Coturnix japonica: one gene and its partners. The main gene of each other region encodes a partner of the protein of the gene in region 3 in a complex. Links are inferred from orthologs where the notes say so. Each region holds a gene or a part of one and is shown on either strand. Other genes may lie near its edges. The genes, in order: POLR2K, TBP, TAF1C and TAF1B.

Evidence for each region.
Region 1: TAF1C (region 3) and POLR2K share a complex: the UniProt entries of both Homo sapiens proteins name them as parts of the pol I pre-initiation complex. The link is inferred for Coturnix japonica from reciprocal best matches to the Homo sapiens genes TAF1C and POLR2K.
Region 2: TAF1C (region 3) and TBP share a complex: the UniProt entries of both Homo sapiens proteins name them as parts of the transcription factor SL1/TIF-IB complex. The link is inferred for Coturnix japonica from reciprocal best matches to the Homo sapiens genes TAF1C and TBP.
Region 4: TAF1C (region 3) and TAF1B share a complex: the UniProt entries of both Homo sapiens proteins name them as parts of the transcription factor SL1/TIF-IB complex. The link is inferred for Coturnix japonica from reciprocal best matches to the Homo sapiens genes TAF1C and TAF1B.

The regions. Positions count from the first base shown.
Region 1 is NC_029517.1:116,285,508-116,291,389, reverse strand, and holds POLR2K (DNA-directed RNA polymerases I, II, and III subunit RPABC4), read right to left. Parts: upstream 3,352-5,882; 5' UTR 3,332-3,351; coding exon 3,257-3,331; exon of another isoform or gene 3,226-3,256; intron 2,456-3,225; coding exon 2,392-2,455; intron 1,688-2,391; coding exon 1,595-1,687; intron 1,426-1,594; coding exon 1,403-1,425; 3' UTR 937-1,402; downstream 1-936. UniProt on the Homo sapiens protein: DNA-dependent RNA polymerase catalyzes the transcription of DNA into RNA using the four ribonucleoside triphosphates as substrates.
Region 2 is NC_029518.1:36,556,754-36,561,647, forward strand, and holds the end of TBP (TATA-box-binding protein), read right to left. Parts: intron 4,109-4,894; coding exon 3,941-4,108; intron 3,651-3,940; coding exon 3,556-3,650; intron 2,719-3,555; coding exon 2,639-2,718; 3' UTR 1,517-2,638; downstream 1-1,516. Other genes in the region: PDCD2 (programmed cell death protein 2), read left to right, coding at 91-270. UniProt on the Homo sapiens protein: The TFIID basal transcription factor complex plays a major role in the initiation of RNA polymerase II (Pol II)-dependent transcription.
Region 3 is NC_029547.1:8,326,524-8,332,093, reverse strand, and holds the start of TAF1C (TATA box-binding protein-associated factor RNA polymerase I subunit C), read right to left. Parts: upstream 3,525-5,570; 5' UTR 3,433-3,524; coding exon 3,301-3,432; intron 2,927-3,300; coding exon 2,833-2,926; intron 2,674-2,832; coding exon 2,567-2,673; intron 2,481-2,566; coding exon 2,385-2,480; intron 2,302-2,384; coding exon 2,228-2,301; intron 2,160-2,227; coding exon 1,912-2,159; intron 1,835-1,911; coding exon 1,724-1,834; intron 1,637-1,723; coding exon 1,513-1,636; intron 1,433-1,512; coding exon 1,361-1,432; intron 1,272-1,360; coding exon 1,136-1,271; intron 1,048-1,135; coding exon 919-1,047; intron 816-918; coding exon 641-815; intron 548-640; coding exon 410-547; intron 187-409; coding exon 1-186. Other genes in the region: TMEM8B (transmembrane protein 8B), read left to right, coding at 3,680-3,860. UniProt on the Homo sapiens protein: Component of the transcription factor SL1/TIF-IB complex, which is involved in the assembly of the PIC (pre-initiation complex) during RNA polymerase I-dependent transcription.
Region 4 is NC_029518.1:87,961,989-87,967,683, forward strand, and holds the start of TAF1B (TATA box-binding protein-associated factor RNA polymerase I subunit B), read left to right. Parts: upstream 1-1,948; 5' UTR 1,949-2,111; coding exon 2,112-2,129; intron 2,130-2,354; exon of another isoform or gene 2,355-2,562; coding exon of another isoform or gene 2,563-2,565; intron 2,566-2,879; coding exon 2,880-2,978; intron 2,979-3,058; coding exon 3,059-3,146; intron 3,147-4,224; coding exon 4,225-4,322; intron 4,323-4,630; coding exon 4,631-4,726; intron 4,727-5,142; coding exon 5,143-5,275; intron 5,276-5,695. UniProt on the Homo sapiens protein: Component of RNA polymerase I core factor complex that acts as a GTF2B/TFIIB-like factor and plays a key role in multiple steps during transcription initiation such as pre-initiation complex (PIC) assembly and postpolymerase recruitment events in polymerase I (Pol I) transcription.

The DNA of each region.
Region 1 (5,882 bases), on a different chromosome or scaffold from region 3:
GCCGCAAGAAACCACACAGCCAACCCCTTGCGAGGAGCCGCAGAGCCCCGCCGGCTCTGTGGAGGACACGGAGTTACACGACGGCCCTGACACCCACCTACCGCGCTCCTAACAGCCTTCACCTCCGCCGTGGACGCCCGCCTTGCCCGCGCATGCACAGCGGAGCGATGGCGAAGGAGCGCCGCGTAGTGAGTGAATAGCTGAGGGGCTCGGCCGGCCCTGTCAGCGCGGGGTCGCTCGAGCTGCAGCTCTCCAACGTTCTGACTATTAGGAACATATAACACTGCTTTAATTTATATTTTATTAAATATAATTTCCATAAAATGGTTCTTAAAAATGATTTGACTTCAGAGAGGGTATTCCCTTCAGAAATACAGCCGTTGAGTTTGAGCTTCCATAAAACATCAGCTTTCAGTGTAGTATTTCATCCAGTCTAAATCCAGTCCGACGCTCTTCCAAGTGCCCTGAGCCTCACCACTGCCCACAACCTTGGGCCCACTAAAACCCATCCCTGTTGCTTTCTGCAGCAGCCAGCACACCCCCTAATAGTGGTATCATACTGTACAGATAACAGTGAAATGACATGTTTGTCTTTCAACAGCCTCATCAGCACTGGAAACAAAATTTGGATTTGCAAGCATTTAATCAGGCTAAATTAGCACCACACACAAAGCAGCAGTGTTTTTTAAGACAAATTGGCGCTATGGGTATTTTAGTATTAAATATTCTGAATATAAATGTTCTGAACAGGAAAATGGATGCAAAAAGTTTGGGCTTATCAGTACAAAACGGCAACCACTTCTTAATACAGACTCATGAGAAATCATCCGAAAAGCAAAATGACGTTATTTCAGTTTTACCTTATCCAAGGTTTCTTTATACTGTAGACCTACTTATTTTAGTGAGTACAAGCAAGGTCACAAAACAGCCTGAGAATCTCTATTTACACATTTATTTTTATCCTGATTTGGGTCCTGTCGAGTTCAAATCCAAATTTCAGACCTGATTTTGCGTGACTTTCAATATGTCTTCACTGGGATTTATTCAAACCAAGATTATCTTATGCAGTTCACAGGAGTCCAAAAAACACTGAAGAGCTGAAACACAGGTAAGGCTTAGGTGTGAGCTGTGAAAACAAGGTTAACACTTAACTCAAAAATGAATATAATACCAATGAATTTAACAGAATGCTGCACATTCTGACTAAAGTTTAAGGAAGAAACCCATTTCTAAAAGTAGTATAGACAGAATTGAGATGGTATGGCAAGTAGTATCACAGTGAAGTTTAATATTTTAATATCTTAAACCACTAAACTATGCATTTATACACCAATGGATTTACAGAGCAAAGTTGCCAGAAATATTAAACTGAAGTATAAAATTGATGTATCTTCAGGTCAAATCACCGGGCATCAAAAACCACCACTGGAATTGTGCAGTTAAAGAAAAATGCGTTGCAGTTCAAGGAAAGATCAGGGGAGGAAAGGGGTCAAGGAGAACAAAAAGAGGGAATGCATAAATCTGAAGTCAATTTTCTTACACAGCTTGCCCCACAGCTTCCCAAATGCATTCGACTGCCTTTGTAAAAGGATACATCTTTTTGTTCTTTTCTTGTACATTATTCTGTACCCACACTCTCGGCATCTGATCGGATCTCTTGCCTTTATTTCATTTTCTGTATGACATTCTGATATGATGGAGAAGGAGAATAGCAATGAGTGAACAAAAGCAGCATATCTAAAGCACAGATAGCTTTCAGATGTAACAATGGTCTAATTCCTTTTACTAGCAAACAAAGCATAACAGAAAATAATTGCAGTGAATTTTAATAAGTAACTGAATTATATTAAGATACTGTTAAGGAAAAAAAAAAAAAAAAGAATTGGCAAACTTAGATTGCTAAAAAGTATCCAAACATTACTGTACCATTCCACACTCCACTAATGAAACCTTCCTCTCAGCCCCTCCGAGCCACCAAGTTTATTTTCTTAAGCCTAAATTTTTCTGAGGCTTTTAAAGTGGTTACTCAAAAGCTCCAATTTTCACTTTATTAACTTATGTTTAGGTAGAGAAAATCTGACAACTGTGCATTAGTGAAAGTTGAATGACAACACTATTTCCAAAAAAACTTTGTCTCCAAGATGCAATATATAAAAGTTCTGCTATCATCCTCTAGAGATGCAGGACCCCCACACAGCAACAGAGGTTCTAGTGAACGACTTCCACATCAATAACCACAAGTAATCCATGCATATGGGAGCATCAGTGCATAAAGCTTAATGCATCATCAGGATCCACAACCCAGTTATGTAGATTTCTGTACTCTGTGGCACTATGACTGCACATTCCTCATTATTAGAGCATTGAATACCACTAATGTCTTTTCTTTACCTCCACAAATGTAAATCATTGGCTGCTGCTTTGGGGGCTGAACGTCCTTCTGTGAATCCATGTTCTAAGCAAAAACAACAAATAAAATACATGTTTTTTGTTGTTGTCTTACACAAATATTTCAATATCTCCATCTAAAGTTGACAGAAATTGAAAAAGTTCTTTTAAAATAAATACAAAAATATTCAAGCTCTGTTTAATATATGCTACATAAGATGATACACATTGGAAAGGACTTCTGTTTGTCCTGGCACGCTAACCTTTTGCCTTCAGGTTCACCAACATTCCTTCACAATATCAGACAACTACTCCACAAACAATTCATTTTTTAGCAACCCCCACCTAACATGTAGGTATTACTGCAGACCTACGTTTTAAGGTTGTGACCATACAGAGAAAGAAAGCATTTTTTCTCCCCTTCTTGATAATACCAGGACAAGGGGAAATGGATTTAAGCTGAAAGAGGGTAGACTTAGGTTGGATATTAGGGGGAAGATCTTCACTAGGAGACCAGTGAGGTCCTAGAACAGGCTGCCCATGGAGGTTGTGGATGCCCCATCCTTGGAGGTGTTCAAGGCCAGGTTGGACGGGGCCCTGGGCAACCTGATCTAGTAAATGTGTATGTTTGGTGGCCCTGCCAGGCAGGGGGGTTGGAACTACATGATCCTTGAGGTCCCTTCCAACCCAGCTCATTCTATGAGCCTATGATTCAATGATCCCCCCCCAGCCCGCCTCGGTTCAGCGCCAGCCACGCCTCCTCCCCACTGACCCCCAGGGGCTTGGTCGACCCTTTCCCCACTCCCCCCTCACCCCGAATCTACCACCACCACCAACCCGGCAGGGATAAGCCGAAAGCGGCACCAACCTCCACACTCCTCGCCGTCCCCTCGGCGCCGAATGATGGCGTCACTACGCAAAGCCGGAGGGGGCGGGTCTGCATCGCCGTCCTTAAGGCGCTGTGTCGGGTTTACAGCGGATAGCGGCTGATGGAGCCTTGGGGGAGTGAGAGTTGGAAGCGCTAGTGAGCTGAGCCTGGCGCTGGTAACTAAATCTCGGTACCCTGCGGTCTGTGCCATGTATTCCCGCATTGAAACAAACTGGCAAGCCGCGGTGCTGTCAGTCACCGGCTCAGCCCTACAGCTGGGCGAGTGCTGGGTGCCCCTTAGGCGTCCCTGTGTGAGTAATGGCACGTCCTCAGGTACGTAAGAACGTATAACAAATACTGCTCTGTAGATAACATCTCCCTGATGTGAGGAAATGCGTCTTTCCGAACGCCGAATAACAACCGTCTCCTGGGGAAAGCTAGAAGTAATAACAACGTGCTAAGGATTTCTAGGCGGCTCATCGGCTTTGTCTTGCTGCTGTGCGAAAATAAAGTTAAGTGTAACTTCTTAGTGCCGGAATAAAACACATGTAAGAATAACGGGACGTGCACGGCAGTGATGTTCGCTGCCCCGGGTCCTCCGAGGTGGGAGCTGCTGCCGGGAGCAAAAATCAACCAACCAAAACGGAACGATCCCTTCCTCCGGTGATGGACACAAAGTAATTAACACCTCACAAGTAACTAATCACTGAAATTAAAGTAAAGCCGATAATCTTTCCCCGCACTCGTTTTGTATTTTAAAACGGGTTTGACGAAATGATTAAAGCATCGAGGTGATGCTTTAAAACCTACTTACTAATTATACCCCATGAGAAAAAAATATATATCGATTGTCCCGAGAAAATCATTCATTATCTTGATTATATCCATCATTTAACTGCTCCCCGGTGGGATGGAGTCTTTTTAAACGTCCATTACTTCTGTGCCTCACGCCGCCTCCCTCGGGGTATAGCCCCGTTCCGACGGGCTGATAAACGCCGGTCCTGAAGAGAAATTCTTCCGACTGGCGTGAAACTGCTACAGAAAGCACTTTGGGAAACCCTGGATTCCATTTCTAAACTCTTTAATTCGCATTCTAAAATGGAACGAGGAACCAGCGCAAAAACCCTAATGTTTTTACCCGTTACAGTTACCCTCCGGTCGCACTACCCGTACACCGAGACGCCCCGTTTCCCCGCTCTGGGGGGGATGGAGCCCGCCCTGCTCAGCCTTAGTTACCACGGAGAACCTCCATCTTTCTGCCCTGGGTGGAGGCGTTACATTCGGAGTTACTCCCAACGATTTAAAGCATGTTTTATCTCACAGTGTTTCTGGTGGAGCCGTAAGCGTAAACCATGAAAGAAAAAACAGAAGTTCTGTATGATTATCTAGCTCCTGAGCTGTCGGGTACAAATAAGCTAATTAAAATGAATTAATCAGCACCCTTACATCTCAGATTTTAAGCTCTTGGTGCAGACAACGTTCCACCTGTGAGGGCTCGGGCTACCCGCTGAAGGTGCCTCCCGCCCGACTCTGAGAAGCTGTGAGCAGCGGGAACGCCTCAGCCCGGCTCCTGAGAGAGACAGAACGGGACGGGCAGAGGGGCCGCACCGGGGCGCTTTATGGAGGGCTGGGAGCGGCGGGAGCCGCCGAGCTGGAGTATAAAGTACGATGAGAGCACGGAGCCCAGATGGTGCCGTCCGCATCCTTGGAGGCAGCGCTCCTCAGGCCGTCCCCCGCCCTGCTCTCGCCTTAGGGCTGCGCTACTGGGGTGGCAGAACGGAGCGGTTGGTAAAGGCGGGCAGTTCAAACCCAAGCGAGGGAAAGCGGCTGCAGCCGCACGTGAGAAGCCGGTGTGGGTGGAGAGAAGCGAAGCGGCTTCTCACTAAGGGCAACGGGCCCTGAAGCTGGGCGGCGAGCTGTGGAGGCGGCAGGATCCCCGCCTTTCCCAGCCAGCTGGCCGGGAGGGAGGGCAGCCTCGCCTTTCATCTCCTTTGGCAGCCCCGCCGACCTCCTCAGGCTGTTCTCGGTGGTGGGGGCCTCTATGGTCGGTTTCTTCAGCCCAGCAGTGTGCTAGATAAGGAGGTGAAGCTGTGTGTTCGTGTCCAGCAGTCCAGGTGACTGAGAGAGCCCCCTCACCCCGACACTGCTCCCTAGGTAGCATCAGTTATCCTCATTGCTGGTAGGTGGATGTGGCAGTGAAAGCATGTATAGACAGAGGGGAAGCTTTCTCAGCTGTCGTCCCACTTCTTATTAACGTTTCTTTTGTACCTCTCTTTTCTACTCGTGCCCTGTCTCACTTTAGGCTGTCGGTAAGGGATTAAATAGTGCTTTGAATTCAGTATATTTGCTGTGGAGGATCTTCAATTGCCTCACAAATAGGGTAAGTTAACCCCATTTGACAAAAAGGATTGAACTAAGGTATCGATGGCATTAGATCTGGGAGCTCTAAGACTAGAGACTTCAGATAAAGTCAGTTTTATTGCAAGTATGATTTCTAATGAAACATCTGATAAAGTAGATCTGTATTACCAAAGCTTCACCTTTATCTGTTCGGTTAACAGGATGGACAGTGACAAATAAGGGTAGAAAATATTTTGTTAGAGGCAGGTTTGTACAGGGTGCATTA
Region 2 (4,894 bases), on a different chromosome or scaffold from region 3:
CAGTAGAGTCATGCCTTTGATTCCCTTGGCATCTAGTACGCTGTCAGGAAATGTAAACTCACTAGTTGTAACCTGTGCTTTTCCTTGAAGATAATGCCACAGCTCCTGAACCACCTTAAGGTTGACAGCCTTGGGGAGAGCATTGACTGGGGAACACTGGTGGTCTACACGTGTGCTGAGAACTGCAGTGCAGAAAACAAGTATGCTGAGGAGTTCATATGGAAACAAGACTTCTCTGTAGACTCTACTGAACTTCCATTAAGTTCCTAAGTTGAATCATCTATATATTACACTTAGCTCATTTTTCAGTGCATCTGCAGGAAACTGAACTAACATCATTGATCCCAGTCTAACACTTGTCTTGGTATGGGATAGGAGATCCCTAAGCAACCTCTGTTATGCTCTAGAGGAGCAACTTGACGTCGGTAATAAAGCCAGATGCAGTTCTTCATGGAATTTCACTTCAGATCTCAACTCTGAATGTTTACTTAAATAAATAAAGATTAAATGGTTTTGGACTGGTGTGAAAGTATCCTTTTGGCAACTGAATTTGTGAATCATAGAAGACTGCCTGAGAGAACTGTGCTTTATAAGAATGGGCAGTAATACACAGAGGAAAGCTCTAAGCTCACTTGCATGCCGATGCTCAGCAGGTTACAGCAGTCATAGCTATGATTAAGCTGTATAACGGTTAAATTGCCTTTAAACAGGCAACTTAATTATGCTTTTCTCTTCCAAATGCTGCGCTGGATCTTGGCAGTTGTTAGGTGTAGTGATTAATGGCAATTGGGTATAAAATGAACAAGTAATTGTTCTATTTGACTTAAGATAGTTACTACAGTGCAGAATTTACTTCAGTTACTTATTCTCTTATCCTGCTCGAGCCCTCCATGCCTGTTTACCAGTGATTCTTCCACGAGTGATTTTAGTTTAGAGGCTGTGAATCCTCAACTGAGCAGGCAGAGAGCACCGTAAGTGTAAAGCTGTTTACTCATCACCACACTTCTAGAAGGGTCGTTTCCTGGAATAGCACAAACCATCCTGTCACTACAGCACAGCTTGGCTGATTGGAATGAAAACTATATGATATAGTGTGTAAAGTCTTCCTGCCATAGTTAACAGTTCTGCAGATGCTACAGCAGCACAGATGGCGATACAGATGAACACTGGACCAGCTTACCCACATACTGCATCACTGCTGTGTGCTGTATCTTGTTTAATTATGTAGCCCTGCCCAGGTAAGTACATCAACTTCCTGCTAAGATCATTTAAACCAGTTATTGAAAGACCTGCTAATAGCGGTGCATAGCGTGCACCACTACAGCAATAATCAAAGATTAAGAATTAATAAGTTCACTCAGGATTTGCATATGGTGCGGTAGCAAAGCCAGCCATAACTACTTATCTGGAATGAAACATCATTTTAATTAAGAGACCATGGTTACATTTGGGTTAGTTTTAGATAAAAGCTGTTTGAAAGAATGTGCAAGTCATAAAAAGGCTATTACTGGAAATGTACTGGAGAAAAAAAAGTTTATTCTTAGTTCTCAGCCCATTAAGCTTCAAGCACACTTCAAAGGGGAGATTATGTACACACTGACTCCAGTTGGAAGGGCTTTGACATTTTATATGAACACTAATATAGTGAGACTGTCATAGTTGGTAAAATACAAAAGTGATTTATAAGAAATCTTAGAAGCTAACCAAGAATCCTTTGTTCCAATTCACTCAAGTGTGGCTGTGTAAGACTTGCATAAATCCCATCTGTTGAATGGGAGGCAACACATACTTGAACACAAACTCCTGTAGCCAGTCTTCTCTTTCCTGTTAGTGCACTGGAAGTAATCGGGCTGAATGTTGCCAAGGATATGACTACTGCTAAGCAAGCCAGAGCGTTGTTCAGATTTTCTCCAGATGACAGTAGTGTGTGTGCTAGTCAAAAATCCAGATTAAACTGAAAAGAACCTCTTCATATATTTCACTTTCCCAGCTGTGCAATTGTAAAACTCATTAAGACAGTTCCCATAATTGTATAAACAGGGTTTATTGTACATGTGGAGCTGAAGGAGAAAAGAGGAGGAATATATATATATTATATATATATATATTTATATATATGTACAGTGAGCTGTTTTCATTAATAAATTTATTCTGCCTTGCTTAATACTGGAAAGAGGGAATGTGTCTGGCACCGAAAGGAATTGAAAACTGAAGGAATTTAAAAGCTTAACTTTGGAAATTATAAAAACCATGGTCTTAATGGAAGGAAATTAAAACATATATACATGGCAACTCAAGTGGTTTATACACTGAGTGACACGGTTGCGTTCATCTTTTAAACCAATTTATGAATTTTCTATTAATAGAACTGGCATTAAAACTATTTAAAAGCTAGAATATAAATAAAACTCGGAGGGACTGCCCAAGGAGCAGCCCAACAAAGCAACTCACAGTAACTCAGTAGACATCATCATCGATAAAACAATTCCCCTTGAGTGTCAGGGAAATAGGCACTAACTGGGAAATAGTCCAAGTCTGGTGTTGCAGTTTCACTGAAGTCCATCTCTTGTTACTGCTGTGCCATACGCGATGCCTTTCTAAATGTACCCCCCAATTTCTCTGCAGTATGTAGAAACTGTTACGTTGTCTTCCGGAAACCCTTTAAAATAGGATAGATGTTTTCAAATGCTTCATAGATTTCTGCTCGAACTTTAGCACCTGCAAGAAGAGAGAAAATGACTTAATTCCCTCTCTCTCTTCAGAACCAAACAGTTCTCTATTTCTGCATGTAATTCTTCCTTTAAATAGACATTTCCTATAGAACACACATTATTAGAATAAACAGAAGGGTAATAAATGAAGGCCTGAGAGTTTGTTTCATTACCATCTTCATGCTTATGACATACTTGTAAATGAGATTTTCTAAGCATGTTTTCTCAGTACACTCAACTGCAAAGCGCAGCCCCATAGGATGTTTATGGAGAAAGGCCTCAACAGCAGTTTTATTCAACAGTGCAAATATCTGGGGAAACAAGGAAATGATGACTGAAGCAGAGGCCAGCAGAGGCCATAGTGCAGGTATATGTTCCTTCTTTCATCTGTGGATTCATTTATCAGTGAAGGGGGAAAAGGAAGAAAGAGTATAGGCAGAATCCCCAAGGTTAAGGAAGCCTCAGAGCATGGGTATCTCCCCTTCTTTGGCTGCTGCATCAAAGGGAAATGGCAGCAGCCTCCAACCAAGCTGTTACAACACACTGAGCTCAGTCACGCGCACCCAGTGAACAGAAGCAGACTTATGGATGTTGCTGGGAACGTTAGATAGGCTCTTTTTGGGCACCCGCCATTCTTCATCAGGATTCAAGATGGTTGCTTATATGGTTTAACCAAATACATGTGGTTTGCTCTGTGGGTTCTCATCCACAAAATACTGTGCTGTCTGTTCCTTTCCCAGTACTGTTGTTTCTGAAGAAGAGCAGCTAATAAATTGCATACTTGTGGGAGCACTGTTTCTAATGCAGTCTAAATCTAACCTACTGGAAGAAAATATTGACTTACCAGTTAAAACCACTTTTCCAGAAACAAAAATAAGCAGAACAATTCTTGGCTTGATCATTCTGTAGATTAAGCCAGGAAACAATTCTGGCTCATAGCTGTAAGAGAAGAGTCACAGTGTTTCAACGTGCCAACAGACAAATGTCCTTGCCCTTCATCTGCAGGGCTGCAGAAATGGACAGTGCAGATGTAAACCATTTGGGATGAGTAGCAAAGAATCGCTGCCCAATATCTACCCATGAAAATAACATCAGTTACTCCAGAGGCAGAGCTAGGATAGGAACAAAGATGCTGCATCCTCTCTGGTGTAAGGGAACAATCTAAACAGATGCCGCTCTAAGCTAGTCACAACACAGCAAGAATGAAAGGTAGGCAAACCTTCATTTACCTGCTGAACTGCTGGTGTGTGAGTACCAATCCTTCTAATCTGATAGGAAACTTCACATCACAGCTGCCCACCATGTTCTGAATCTTAAAATCCAAAAATTTCGCAGGAAAACCCAGTTTCTGAACAACTCTTGCGTACTTCCTTGCTGCCAGTCTGGACTGTTCTTCGCTGAAGGGAGAAAAAAAGAGCCAGCTTATTTCCCTTATTAAGCACTACTTCAAGCAAACAGCACCAAGCCACAAATATTTAACTGGGAAAGAAACATTGCGTGTGTTGCAGGAGAGTTGCAAAATGTTTACATCCAAAATGAACAACTACTACTGGTTTGCACACTCAGTTGTAGTACCAAGGTCCCGAACACTTTAACACTGCATTCACTGTTTATGAAGCAGAAAACTCTACTCTGTCCCCTACAAGGACAGGCTGAGAGAGCTGGGGTTCTTAAGCCTGGAGAAGACTCCAAGGAGACCTCATTGCAGCCTTTCAGTACCTGAAGGGAGCCTACAGGAAAACTGGAAAGGGACTTTTTATATGGGTGTGTAGTGACAGGATGAGGAGAAATGGCTTTGAACTGGAAGAGTATAGATTTAGACTGGATATTAGGAAGAAATTATTTACTGTGAGGGTGGTGAAACACTGGAACAGGTTGCCCAGAGAGGCTGTGGATGCTCTCTGGATGCTTTGAGCAACCTGATCTAGAGGGAGGTGTCCCTGCCCATAGCAAGGGAATTGGAACTGGATGATCTTAAAGGTCCCTTCCAACCCAAATTATTTCATGATTCCACGATCTCTGCTCATTAGGTTATTCCTTCTGGATTCCCAAAGGACTTCACAGCAGAATTTCTCTCCTGCCAGTTTTCAAGTCTGATGCCTCAGTGATCCCATTAAGAACAGATCAGACTACAGGTACCAGAGACTTGGAGCTCCTGACCCACAGTAAATGAAACAAACACC
Region 3 (5,570 bases):
GGGATGCTGCTGCCTCATCTCCCTTGTTGGGAGTGGGAGCTGGTTCAGATTCATCCCTCTGGTCTGGAACAGGTGTGGGTGCTGCTTCGTGCCTCAGTGTCTGATAGAAGACATCACCGGCCTCGGAGAGCTGGAACACTAGAAGGGAATCTTCCTGGCCTTGCCCATGCTGCATGGCAGCCAGCCCTATGGGGATAAATGGGGCTTCGTCACCACACACCCTACTCTACCTCCCCACGAATGCAGCACTCACTGCTCTTTCCCAGTTTGTCCCTACATCCTCTCCCAAGCCATCAATATCTTAACTTGCACATGGCGTTGAGTAGCATTTGCCTTTTGAAGCACGCTGATGTAGCACTGACTGCTGGCTGCTAGCCCTGCAGGACCTGCACAGCCCAGGACCACTCACCAGATGCAGGGATGCTGAGGCGCTGCTGGAGCAGGTGCTGCTGGTGTGGGAGCTGTATGGGGAGGTGAGGTAGGCAGCTGGCAATGCTGTGTAGCCGCTGTGGTGGCCCTGCGAGCTGGCAGGCCATCTGGCTGCCCCCTGCAGTAAGACATGTCAACAATGAGCTGGTGAGGCAGCATGATCAGGATGTGGACATGAGGGGAATCTGCGTTCCCCTACCTGGTTTCTCACCTGTGTACTGCAGCAACAGCAGCTCCTGAGTATGAGAGGTGCCCAGCAGCACTTTATGACTCCTTCCAGACTCTCCCGGCACAACATCAGCGAACAGAGGGGGGAATTTCATCATGTGTGCCCATTTCAGCACAGGCACCAGCGGCAAACGCTCGTCCAGCAAGTACACGGCAAACTGAAAGGGGGCAAAACTCAGCAGGGTGCCCCCCACCTGCATCCAAACCAGATGCACGAGGTGGGTGGGGAGGTCTGGGGACACTGAGCCATGGAGGACTCACCTGGGTGGCAACGAGGTACTGGCAGGGGTGAGCCCTACCCAGGTACATGGGCAGTACCACGCGTTCACCCTTCTGGCACTTGGCTTCCTCACCCACCTTGAAGAAGTTGAAGTGGCATCTAGTGGGGGCCTGCAGTGGCATAACAGGGTGCTGTCAGCACCATGGGGCTGACATAGGTCACCCCACAGCCCACCCTGAACCCCGTTCTCATGCTCACCCGAGTATCCAGGCACAGGATGCCAGTGCGGTCAGCACAGCTCAGCACCCGCGGGTGAGCAGTGAAGTCACTCCAGCGCCAGGGTGAGTGGTCCCGGAAAAACAAGGTCTGGGGGTCATGGCGGAGCCGCTGCAGCCTGTAGGGAAAAGGACAGAGCTCTTCCTTGCTGTGGGGCACCCCTGCCTCCTGCAGCACCAAACACTGGGGATCAGAGCCCCAACTCACCCTGTCTCTATGTTCCATAGATAGACAGCTCCACTCTGCGTACAGACTGACAGCTCCCCAGGCAGGTGTGGGCTGTGGGGCAGAGACATGGCGTTACATTGGAAGGCTTGTAGCTGAGGACCTTCCCAGAGCTCTGTATTCCCACCACACACCTGACGGTGAGGCAGGAAGCTGGCACATCAGTGTGGATGACCTGCAGTGAGCTGGGGGCAGCCCCTGTCTTGCCTGACATCCTCCAGACACCACAGTAATAGTCAGAGCGAACGCCAACAAAGTCTAGTAGGAGACAGGAGAGAGGGCAGATGAGAGAGCAGGGATGCCACTATCTCTGTATGCAGTGCACATGTCCCAGGGCTTACTCACCCTGCCCATCCACCCGGGCAGCAGCTACTTGCCGGATGCGCCCGTTGAGCTCAAACTGCACTGGCAACCCCTGGGCCCGCGGCTGCTCCTCCAGCACCACATTCTGGAAATCTGGAGTGCAGGCTAAGGGCACTGCCACACAGTGCTCCCCTGTCCCAGAGTCCCCCAAGTATCATAGGAAAGGATACAGAGGTGGTTCATGGCCAACCCGCCAGGGTACACCAGGCATCCCATGTCACTGCTTGCATCCTGAGGGGGCAGCCAGGCTAGTGCTCCCCCTGTGGAACTGTCATCGAAGAGCAGTCTGGTCCACTGTAGCAGCAGCTCTTCATGCACGCAGTCGGCCAGCAGTCCCAGTGGCACCTCAAAGAGCCAGTCCCGGCACAGGTGAGAGAACAAGCGCAGGTGGTTGGCATACGGATGCCGAGGGCAGCCACTGTGAGGGGACAATCAGTGCCAGGTAGGTGTCGGAGCCCACCGCCCTCCCAACCCAGCAGCACTCACCGCCTGGCTTCCATATTGTTGATCTTCTTCACCATGGATGTCATACGGATGGTTGTGTCCTTGGCACTGCCTTTCTGCAGGGAGGAGAGAAGTGCCACTATGAACAGAAAGGAGGGGGTACACCAGTGCCCCCCTCAGCATCACCAAGGACACTGACCCCGAGGCTGTAGTCTCCCAGGTGGAAGTTGTTGTGCAGCAGCTGCCCCAGGGAGCTGAAGGCGTCCTCAGGATGATCCACAAAGAAGTGCCCTAGCTGCGTGGGGACAGCAGTGTGGGGCTGTGCAGTGATGTCATGGTGGAGCTCAGCCCTGTCTCCTCAGCAGCACCCAAGCCCTGTACCTGCTTGGCAAAGTCCAGCGCAGCCCCAGACTTCCCAGTCTGCAGCTTTCTATGCAGGACACCGTGGTAGAGAATATCCTGAGCGGTCACACTGGGGACCGAGCAGCCTGTGAGGGGGCAGGGGGCGGCGGGGGGGGGGGGGGGGGGGGGGGGGGGGGGGGGGGGGGGGGGGGGGGGGGGGGGGGGGGGGGGGGGGCTGCCGAGTGCGTCCCAGCACCAGGTGGCAGCCCCATTCTCAGCCCCCCCTGTGCCCCCTCAATCCTCACCCACGTTGGGCGGCAGCAGCGGCACCGCCGCGGGCTCAGCCGGCGTCCAGCTCTCCCCCTCGTGGCTGCGGAGGGGCACGAACGGCGGCAGCACCTGCAGGGACAGCGGGGAATGGAGGTGAGGGTCAGTGCCCCCTCAGTACCCTCAGAGCCCCCTCAGTACCCTCAGAGCCCCCTCAGTGCCCACAGAGCCCCCTCAGTGCCCACAGAGCCCCCTCAGTGCCCACAGAGCCCCCTCAGTGCCCTCAGAGCCACCTCAGTACCCTCAGAGCCCCCTCAGTGCCCTCAGAGCCCCCTCAGTGCCCACAGAGCCCCCTCAGTGCCCACAGAGCCTCCTCAGAGCCCCCTCAGTGCCCTCAGAGCCCCCTCAGTGCCCTCAGAGCCCCCTCAGTGCCCTCAATACCCTCACTGCCCCCTCACTCATTGCCCCCCAGGCCTCCCCCATCCCGTTCCCCCGTTACTCCTCACCTGCCGCCGTCCAGGCCCGGCCTGCAGCACCTCTTCCCGCTCCCCCCATCCAGCGGCCGGAGCCGGACGCCCCTCGTCCCTGGTGGGGCCGGATCCGAAGTAAGAAGGGAAGAGCACGCCCGGGAACTCCATGGGCGGTACCGGGGGCGGTAATGGTGAGCCCGGTACCGGATCCGGACCGGAAGTGCTGCGCACGCGGTCCCGACGCGGTAGGAAGTTGGATGACCGGGAAGGGCGAGGCCTAGAGTGCGACAGCGCCCCCTAGCGTGTGGGAGGTATCATGGCGAGCAGAAAGCGGGGCCGCGCCGGTTGTGAGTGACAAGCAGAACCGCCAATAGGAAAATTGGGGAGGGAGAAAGGGGGCGGGACGGATGACGTCATGGTCGCCCCTGCGCGGCGGGGCTGCTGGAGCCGCGCGCCCCTCGGCAGCCGGCGCGGTGGGATGGGGCGGCGGGGCGGCGGGCGGGGGCGGCCGCTCACACCGATACCCCTCCTCCGCCTGCCCCTGCTGCTCCTGCCCCTCCTCCTCCTCCTCCTCCTATGGCCGCCGCCGCCCGCCGGTGAGTGTCGAGGGGCCGAGGGGGTCGGGGAGCTGAGCGCTGCGTGGGGGATGGGGGTGAGGAAGGGGGGAGGTGTGTGCTTGTATTAATGGGGTGAGGATGGAGCGCAGACCGTCCGCAGCATCTGCCCGCCGTGGGATGACAGTGTGTGTGATGGGGTGCGGGATGTGTGTGCAGCGAGATGTGGGGTCAGTGTGCAGCAGGGCACGTTGATGTGTGGGGTACCCCACATTACACCATGCAACTGAGTATAGGGTGCGTGGGCAGTGGGGCAGGACGTGTGAGCACAATGGGGCATATTCATGTGTGATGGGAGATGGCAGTGGGGTGTTGGCATAATGGGACATGGAGATGTGTGTTCGGTGGTTATGCTTGACAATAAGCAGGCTGTGGGGCACGCGTGCAATGTGGTACATAGGGAGGGCTCAGAGGTGTGCGTGCTGGAGGGACACAGGTGGTGTAAGTGCACAGGGACACCCAGAGAGAGGGGTCAGACTCATGGTCAGGGGTTACGGGGATCTGCAATTGCAGCGTGTCACCTGGACAGAGGGCTGTGAAGTGGGGCAGCAGGGATGCATGCAGTGCGGGGGATGTGTGTGCAGTGAGGATGAGTGGGGGGACACTGGAGTGAATACGTGATGAAATGAGTGTGCTGTCGGGCTCTGGAGCTGCCTTCATTTGGGGGCTGCGGAGGGGTATGCGGTGTTGTGTATGGGGGATCACGGAGGAAGGGGGCCGAGCTGTGGAGTAGAAGCGCTATGGGGCCCTATGGGGCGGCTGGGGGAGCTGTCCGTGGTCCTGAGCCCGACATCAGGTGAGCTGTCCGTGGTACTGACCCTTCTGGGAGAGGAGGTCGCCTCTCTTCGGCCTCTGGCCTGGGGCAGAGGCGCTCTTGCTTTTCTCCTTTCTCTCTTTCATAGATAGGAAATTCTGTTCCATCTTCCTGCTTTTCTGCCTGTGCTGTGGCCTCACTGCCGCAGGGCTCCAGCCTGACTCTCCCTGTGCACCTGTGTGCCCTCACTTTACCTCAGATGAGTGGGCTCCAGGAAGTGTAATGGGGTCAGGAAGCTCTGCGTGCTTTCCCCATGCCATGTCCTGGGAGCACGTTCACCATCTCTTTCTCTTTGAGGTCCACTGCCAGTTCACTGACCCCAGCTGGCAGGGAGCTTCGGTCCCCTGGGGAACTGTGGGCTGGTCAGGTGGTTCATGGAAGGGAAACTGTGATTGAGTGCACTTGCACGCAGATGGGAATTTCATGCCCATTTCGTGTTGGCTGGCAACGAAGGGAGGGGGAGCTGCCTTTGTTCCAGGCAAGGGAGCAGATGCATGTCAGTGTTCAGCCTGCTGGGGCTGCACACACACAGTACAAACACACGTGCATGCAAGCACATGCGCATGCTCCCAGCCAGACACTGGAAAAAGCAGCCCTTCTTCTCAGCTGTCCCCTTCCCTGCTGTATACATCCTCCTGGCCACAACCCTGCTCCCATTTGCTCTTCTGCTAGCATCCTCTTTGTTGGCTGCTTGTAGAGACTTCTTATTCTTGGTGAGTAATGCGTGGATCTCTTAGGCTGGCACTGGGGAAACAGTACAATAGTAGAATGAAGTTACTGCTCCTGTTTGGAGATCGGATCTTCCTTGTTTCTGCTGTACCAAGGAGGTGTCTTCCTTCTCCTGCTAAAGCTCCTGAAATCCCCAGGCTGCTGGGCTT
Region 4 (5,695 bases), on a different chromosome or scaffold from region 3:
CGTTAATCTTTACAATCTTTAGAGCAGCTGAGGTTGTGTTTCTGCTCCAGCTCTTTGTAGTAGGTGTCTGACAATGGGTAAAGTCTGTAAGGGACTCCTGGGAGAATCTGTGATGCCGAAGTTCTTATCCCGGAGCCAATGAAGTTTCATAAGCAATATCCTGAAGGATAGGCCAAAGGACACGTCTTTTGGTTCAAGATGTAGTTTTTGTGCCTTCACATACAGCAAGTCTGTGCTCAAGAGCCAGAAATGTGGTATCAGCAGTGGAACCCAGTTCATTAAAAATTCAATTCAATGGAAACAACAGGACGTATTATTTATCTAAGCCTTGAATCAATCTGACTACTATGCATAATGATTTTAATTAGAAAAGTGAGCTGAAGCAGGAAGACAGTCTGTCTCCTGGCTTTGAAATTATCATATGCCTATCTGTATGCTTGAGTAACTTGTAATTAGGGACAAAGGTTACACATCATTTTATATGCTGAAAAACCGGTTTTGAGCATGTCATCTCAAAAAAAAAAAAATATTTAAGAAATAGATATAAGACTTGCTACCCCTATTACACTCTGAATTTTTGCTACCAGATTACTAGTCTGCACTAGTTAGTTGATGGTCTTAGGAAACATTCATGGAAGCTTTGCACTCATAAAAAGCCTGAATATGTAACTAGAACTACCAACACTACTCTTTGTACAACTTTTTTGTCTGAAGTTTGGTCGCTTTTCATAGCTTTACCTCACCTGCATGGAAAACATGGCTCAGAAAAGCTGAGCAAATTGTCCACAAGCACAGAACCAGCGCCTGCAGAGTTCTGTCACTGTGCTTCCTTTGCTTTGCCCAGGTGTGATTAGCAAGCAGAAGTCCACTGAGGCCCTGCCTCATCCAAGCAGTCATTCCATGCTTAATTTAAGCCAGTTCTTCAGTTGAATTAGATCCACGGAGCGGCCTGCTCACAGGGTGACTCCAAATCCAGCTCCCAGCAGGAGAAAGGCTGCGTCTTCTAACTGGGACACAGCTCTTCCTGGTTTACCATATACAGAGCACTTCTGATTATTTTTCAAGATGGGATTTCATCATAGAAACCCATTAGAAAAAGATCAAACTCCATCACACGAAAAGGCCTTGCTTTCCCAGAACTGTATTTTCACAAACAACAAAAATATATATGGAAATCAATATAAGAAGTAGGATCTGTTTCATCAGGGTATTAGCTGTATTTCTGCAAGGCTGATGATCACCTTTTTAATGGCAGGAATTATATGCATAATTCTCTGTAATGGGTGTTACAAATGTTCATCCCACACCGAAAAAAGATCACAGTTGGTATGAGTAATAACTTCTATTTTTCATGAACATAAACAGTTTCCCTCTAGCTCTGTACATATCCTCCAACATCAATGTAACCACAGCTGTCAAGGGAGCCTCACCTCTTTCCATGTATATTTTAGCTTTAATTTTTTCCCATGCTTTCACTCAGTGGTTTTTTGGGGTTTTTTTGTTTGTTTTGTTGTTGCTGTTGTTTTTAGGGGCCTAAACCTAAACCTGTTCTCCAATTCTGTGGGCAAATTCATTGCAATAACAGAGCTTAGTGTTCAGACATCACCATTAGCGTAGCAGAAATTAGAGACCTATATCAAGATCTGGAGGTTTGGTGGTTTTATTGTTGGTGTTTTTTGTTTTGTTTTTTTTACTGAAAGCAAATTTCAGATCCTCATTTCCCTCATCCAAGGATCCTGAAGTGCTTTATGCATTTATTGAATCACCAGGGTTGGAAAAGCACTGCTATCCTCTTTAAAAATGAAACATCCACGTTCCAATTGTGAAGTTCCCCATGTTTCCTCAGAAGTGAGGTTGGATATTAGGAGATACTTCATGTCAGACAGAGTGTTGGCACAGGGAGGTGGTGGAGTCACCGACCCTTGGGGTGCTCAGGGAATGTGGAGATGTGGCACTGAGGGAAGGACGCGGTCACAGAGGCCGCCCGAGGCCGCAGGGCAGGGCCGGAACGCAAGCGCCGGGGTTGCCGTTTCCGAGCCGGCCGACAGCGCTGGCGCTCGGCGCGGTTGCCGTGGTGGGATCCCCGGAGCGGCTGCCCGGCACCCGGCGGAATGGACGAGGAGGACGCGGTGCGGGGCGGGCGGCTCCGGGAGCGGCCGGTTTCTCCGGGCTGGAACGGGGCCCTGTGGGCGGCGCTGACACGCGGGGCGGGCGGTGGCTGCGGGCGGCGCTCGGGGCTCCGGTGCTGGGGCGGGGGAGGCCCTGGCTGCGCTCCCGGCCCGGTGTCGGGGTTGAGGCCCGGGCTGAGCGCGGGGCTGTAGGAGGGATCCTCTTCATGCTGCTTCTGTGGGGTTCCCTGTTCTCCCCTCTTGGGTTTCTCCGGGCACGACCCTCCATGCGTTGTGCAGGCAACCCCCACGTGTTTCTGAGTCGTTCTCAATTCCATCTCCAGGGCTCTATTCCCCTTCCTATTTCCGATGGGTGTTTTCTCTTTGTTTTCTCCATCACGTCCTGTGCCCTGTGTGTGATTTACTGAGGCACTGACTTAGTTTCCACGGGGAAATGGTTTTAAGTTAAAAGAGGGAAGATTTAGGTTGGATGTTAGGGGGAGGTTCTTCACTAGGAGAGTGGTTAGGCCCTGGAACAGGCTGCCCAGGGAGGTTGTGGATGCCCCGTCCTTGGAGGTGTTGAAGACCAGGTTGGACGGGGCCCTGGGCAACCTGATCTAGTAAAGGTGTATGTTTGGTGGCCCTGCCAGGCAGGGGGGTTGGAACTACATGATCCTTGAGGTCCCTTCCAACCCGGGTCATTCTGTGATTCTGTGATTCTATGAATGGGGTTATCTGCTATGTGAAACTATTTGTTTTTCTTCCTTTCAGGGGGATTTTGATGAGTGCTGTGCGCAGTGTTCAGATGTGAACTGGGGTCTCACAGATGGAGGCAGATATTATTGCAGAACTTGCCACAATGTTATTGAGGTAAAAAAGCGGAGCTTGTTGGCCTTCAGACTGCTTTCAGTCTGGTGTTTTCCTTGCTAAGATGTGTTACTGTTTTGCAGAGAACTCGAGAAGTTGTAAGCGCTGAAACTTTTCTTAATGCAAGAGTCCAGACAATCTCCAAAGGCTCTAGAAGTCAGAAAAAAACTGGTACGTTGTACACAAAGCTCTGTATTGTGCATAAAAGTGGATGCACTGGTTTACTGAGCACGTTGCATTCAATGGTGGCTGAAAGGAGATAGCTAGTAAGGACCATGAAAAGGAAAGTAATGCATCCCCAGATACTGTCAGAGCTTCTGCAGCCTCAGTGAGTTCCAGAGGCACAGGTGGCCTCCATGAAGTTGGTGGATGTTGTGCATTAGGCTTCTTAGCTTCATGCAGTCCCTTCTGCAATTGCAGTTGCACAAGACTATGTCAGTTTATTTTCATACATGTGAAGGGTTAAGCTGTATCTGCGGTTAGCAGGTAAAGCCAGCATCCTTAATGCAGGGGAGTAACTTGGGGCAGATAACTTCTAAGATGATGAGATGCAAGGTGTGATTGAAGGGGAAAATAACGAGTAACAGCTGTGGAGTGAATGTAAAGAGATTTGGGAGCTACAGAGACTTTTTCTTAAGACCAAGAGTATGTGGAAAAAACTTGTAAATGTGGAGAGGTATTGTGGAAAGTAAATGTAATGCTGTCTGAGGAAATAGTGAATAGATTGGAGCAGGCCTTAGGAGATTCATCATATGCTGAAATACAGTAAGAACTCTGAACATCTGAAAAACTTTCAGTTAAACCTGTATGATTCCATGAGAGACAGTGGTGAAGAACACTGATTTATTTATATATATTTTAATTTGCACCTGATGAAGTACTGCAATGTAACGTGTTCCAGTTTTTCATGCTGAATATGGGGAAGAAAGGACATTTTGTTCTTTCAACAATAGGTTCTACTTAACAACTGGTCACTAGGCAACTCTCTACTCAGTTACAAATGTCATGTTAGAAATGATAGTGAAATATATTAGCATTTGGAAATATGGTTAGAACAGCGCTTGTTCAGTAATATTTCTTCTTTCTTAAGCCTGTGAGTAAGTGGAAGTTAATGGAATATTCAGTGTAATGGTCTTTGATCTCATATCTGAAGTTATTTAATAAAGATGTATCTCTGCCCTGGTACAAGATAACAATATTAAGTGGAAATACCTTGCTTAAGGTTTAAAAAACACTTTCTTTTTAATAGATAAAGGCTCGGAATGGTATGTTTGTGAAGGCTTTCAGCTGGTACTAAAGCAACAAGCTGAAGCTTTGGAAGCATTGGGAGTATGTCCACAAATGAAGGTATGTAGAGATCAGTGTGAATCCTACAAGCTGTGAGTTGTGCACACTGTGCTTGTGCAGCAGGGCTGTTACTTAAAGATACTGTAATTTTGGGGGTAAATCAAATCCCTCTCTTTTTAAAAAAAATATCGAGTGCATGTAAACAAACTTAATTTTCTTTGTAGTTACAAAACATGAAATAAAAACTGGAGGTAATGAAATGAGAGCTGGAATATTATTTAGGTCCCTGGCTTAGCAATTCTGTTCTGTTTTCACATAAATTAATGGTTTTCTAAACCATGCACTAATTGTCCATTTGTGTTTACCAGGATGAAATTCTGTGCAATTTTTGGAGGCGTTACCTTCAGAAGAACCAACAGGCATATTGCAACAAACCATCTGGTGAAACTATCAAGGCATTATCAGTAAGTGAAAAGCTCAGATCCTATGAGATATTGGTTATCTTTTTTAAAGAGTAACAACAAAAATCTTTCTTTGAGCTGCATACCTAACTTTCATTAATCTTGCTCCAGCGAGAATGTCTTCTAAATGGAATACGACATGTCCAGGCTTCTGAAGTTACTTATTTCATTATGCTTTGCTCCTATAAATCGCCTCCTTTCTGGTCATTGTAGCAGATTGGGATGTAACAGAATCACAAAGAAATTTTTTTTTCAAGGTTTCTTTACATACCGGTGATTCATAGAGCAAGTAAATATGTGAACAGCTTGCATTTCAACTTCATGTACTAAATCTTGTATCTGTTGTGCCTTATTTAGTTTATTCAGATTAAAACAGCAACTAACAGTAGATAATACTATGTCTTATTTACAAAAACCAGGGATGTGAAAGCAGTACAGATAGGGACAGTGAACCAGAGCGACCCAGCCTGCTTCATTTTTTATCTGTCTCTGAAAGTGATGGGGATCTACAGACAGATTGCAACTATGCCTCATCAGCTGGCAAGGTCTCAGGTAGGAGCAATGAAGTGAAGTATCTGGAAACCATTTTTGTATACAACTTAGGTGTATTTGTGCAGAATGAATTGGAAGGACTTGTTGATATGTAGCTGGAAAGTGTAAAGTTTTCAATTCTACCTGTAGCAGAAGACTTCTTTATTCCCCCTTTTTTTTTCCCCTCTAAAGTTGAGCATGATCTGGAACTGCAGAGGGAAGTTGTATTTTGTAGCCATGTTGCCCTGTGCATCCTGTCTGGAATGAGGAAAGAAAAAGCTGTTTTATCTACAAACCTACATGTTCACAAATGCTGGAGTTTTGAAGCATAAGCGCTTGTTTAGCTAACAGCAGAGCTGTCAGTCCTAACTGCTCTGTTTAAGAAAAAGAGGTGATTCTTTTGTTCCTTTTTCTTCTTCACGTTATGTGTTTTTTTCCTAT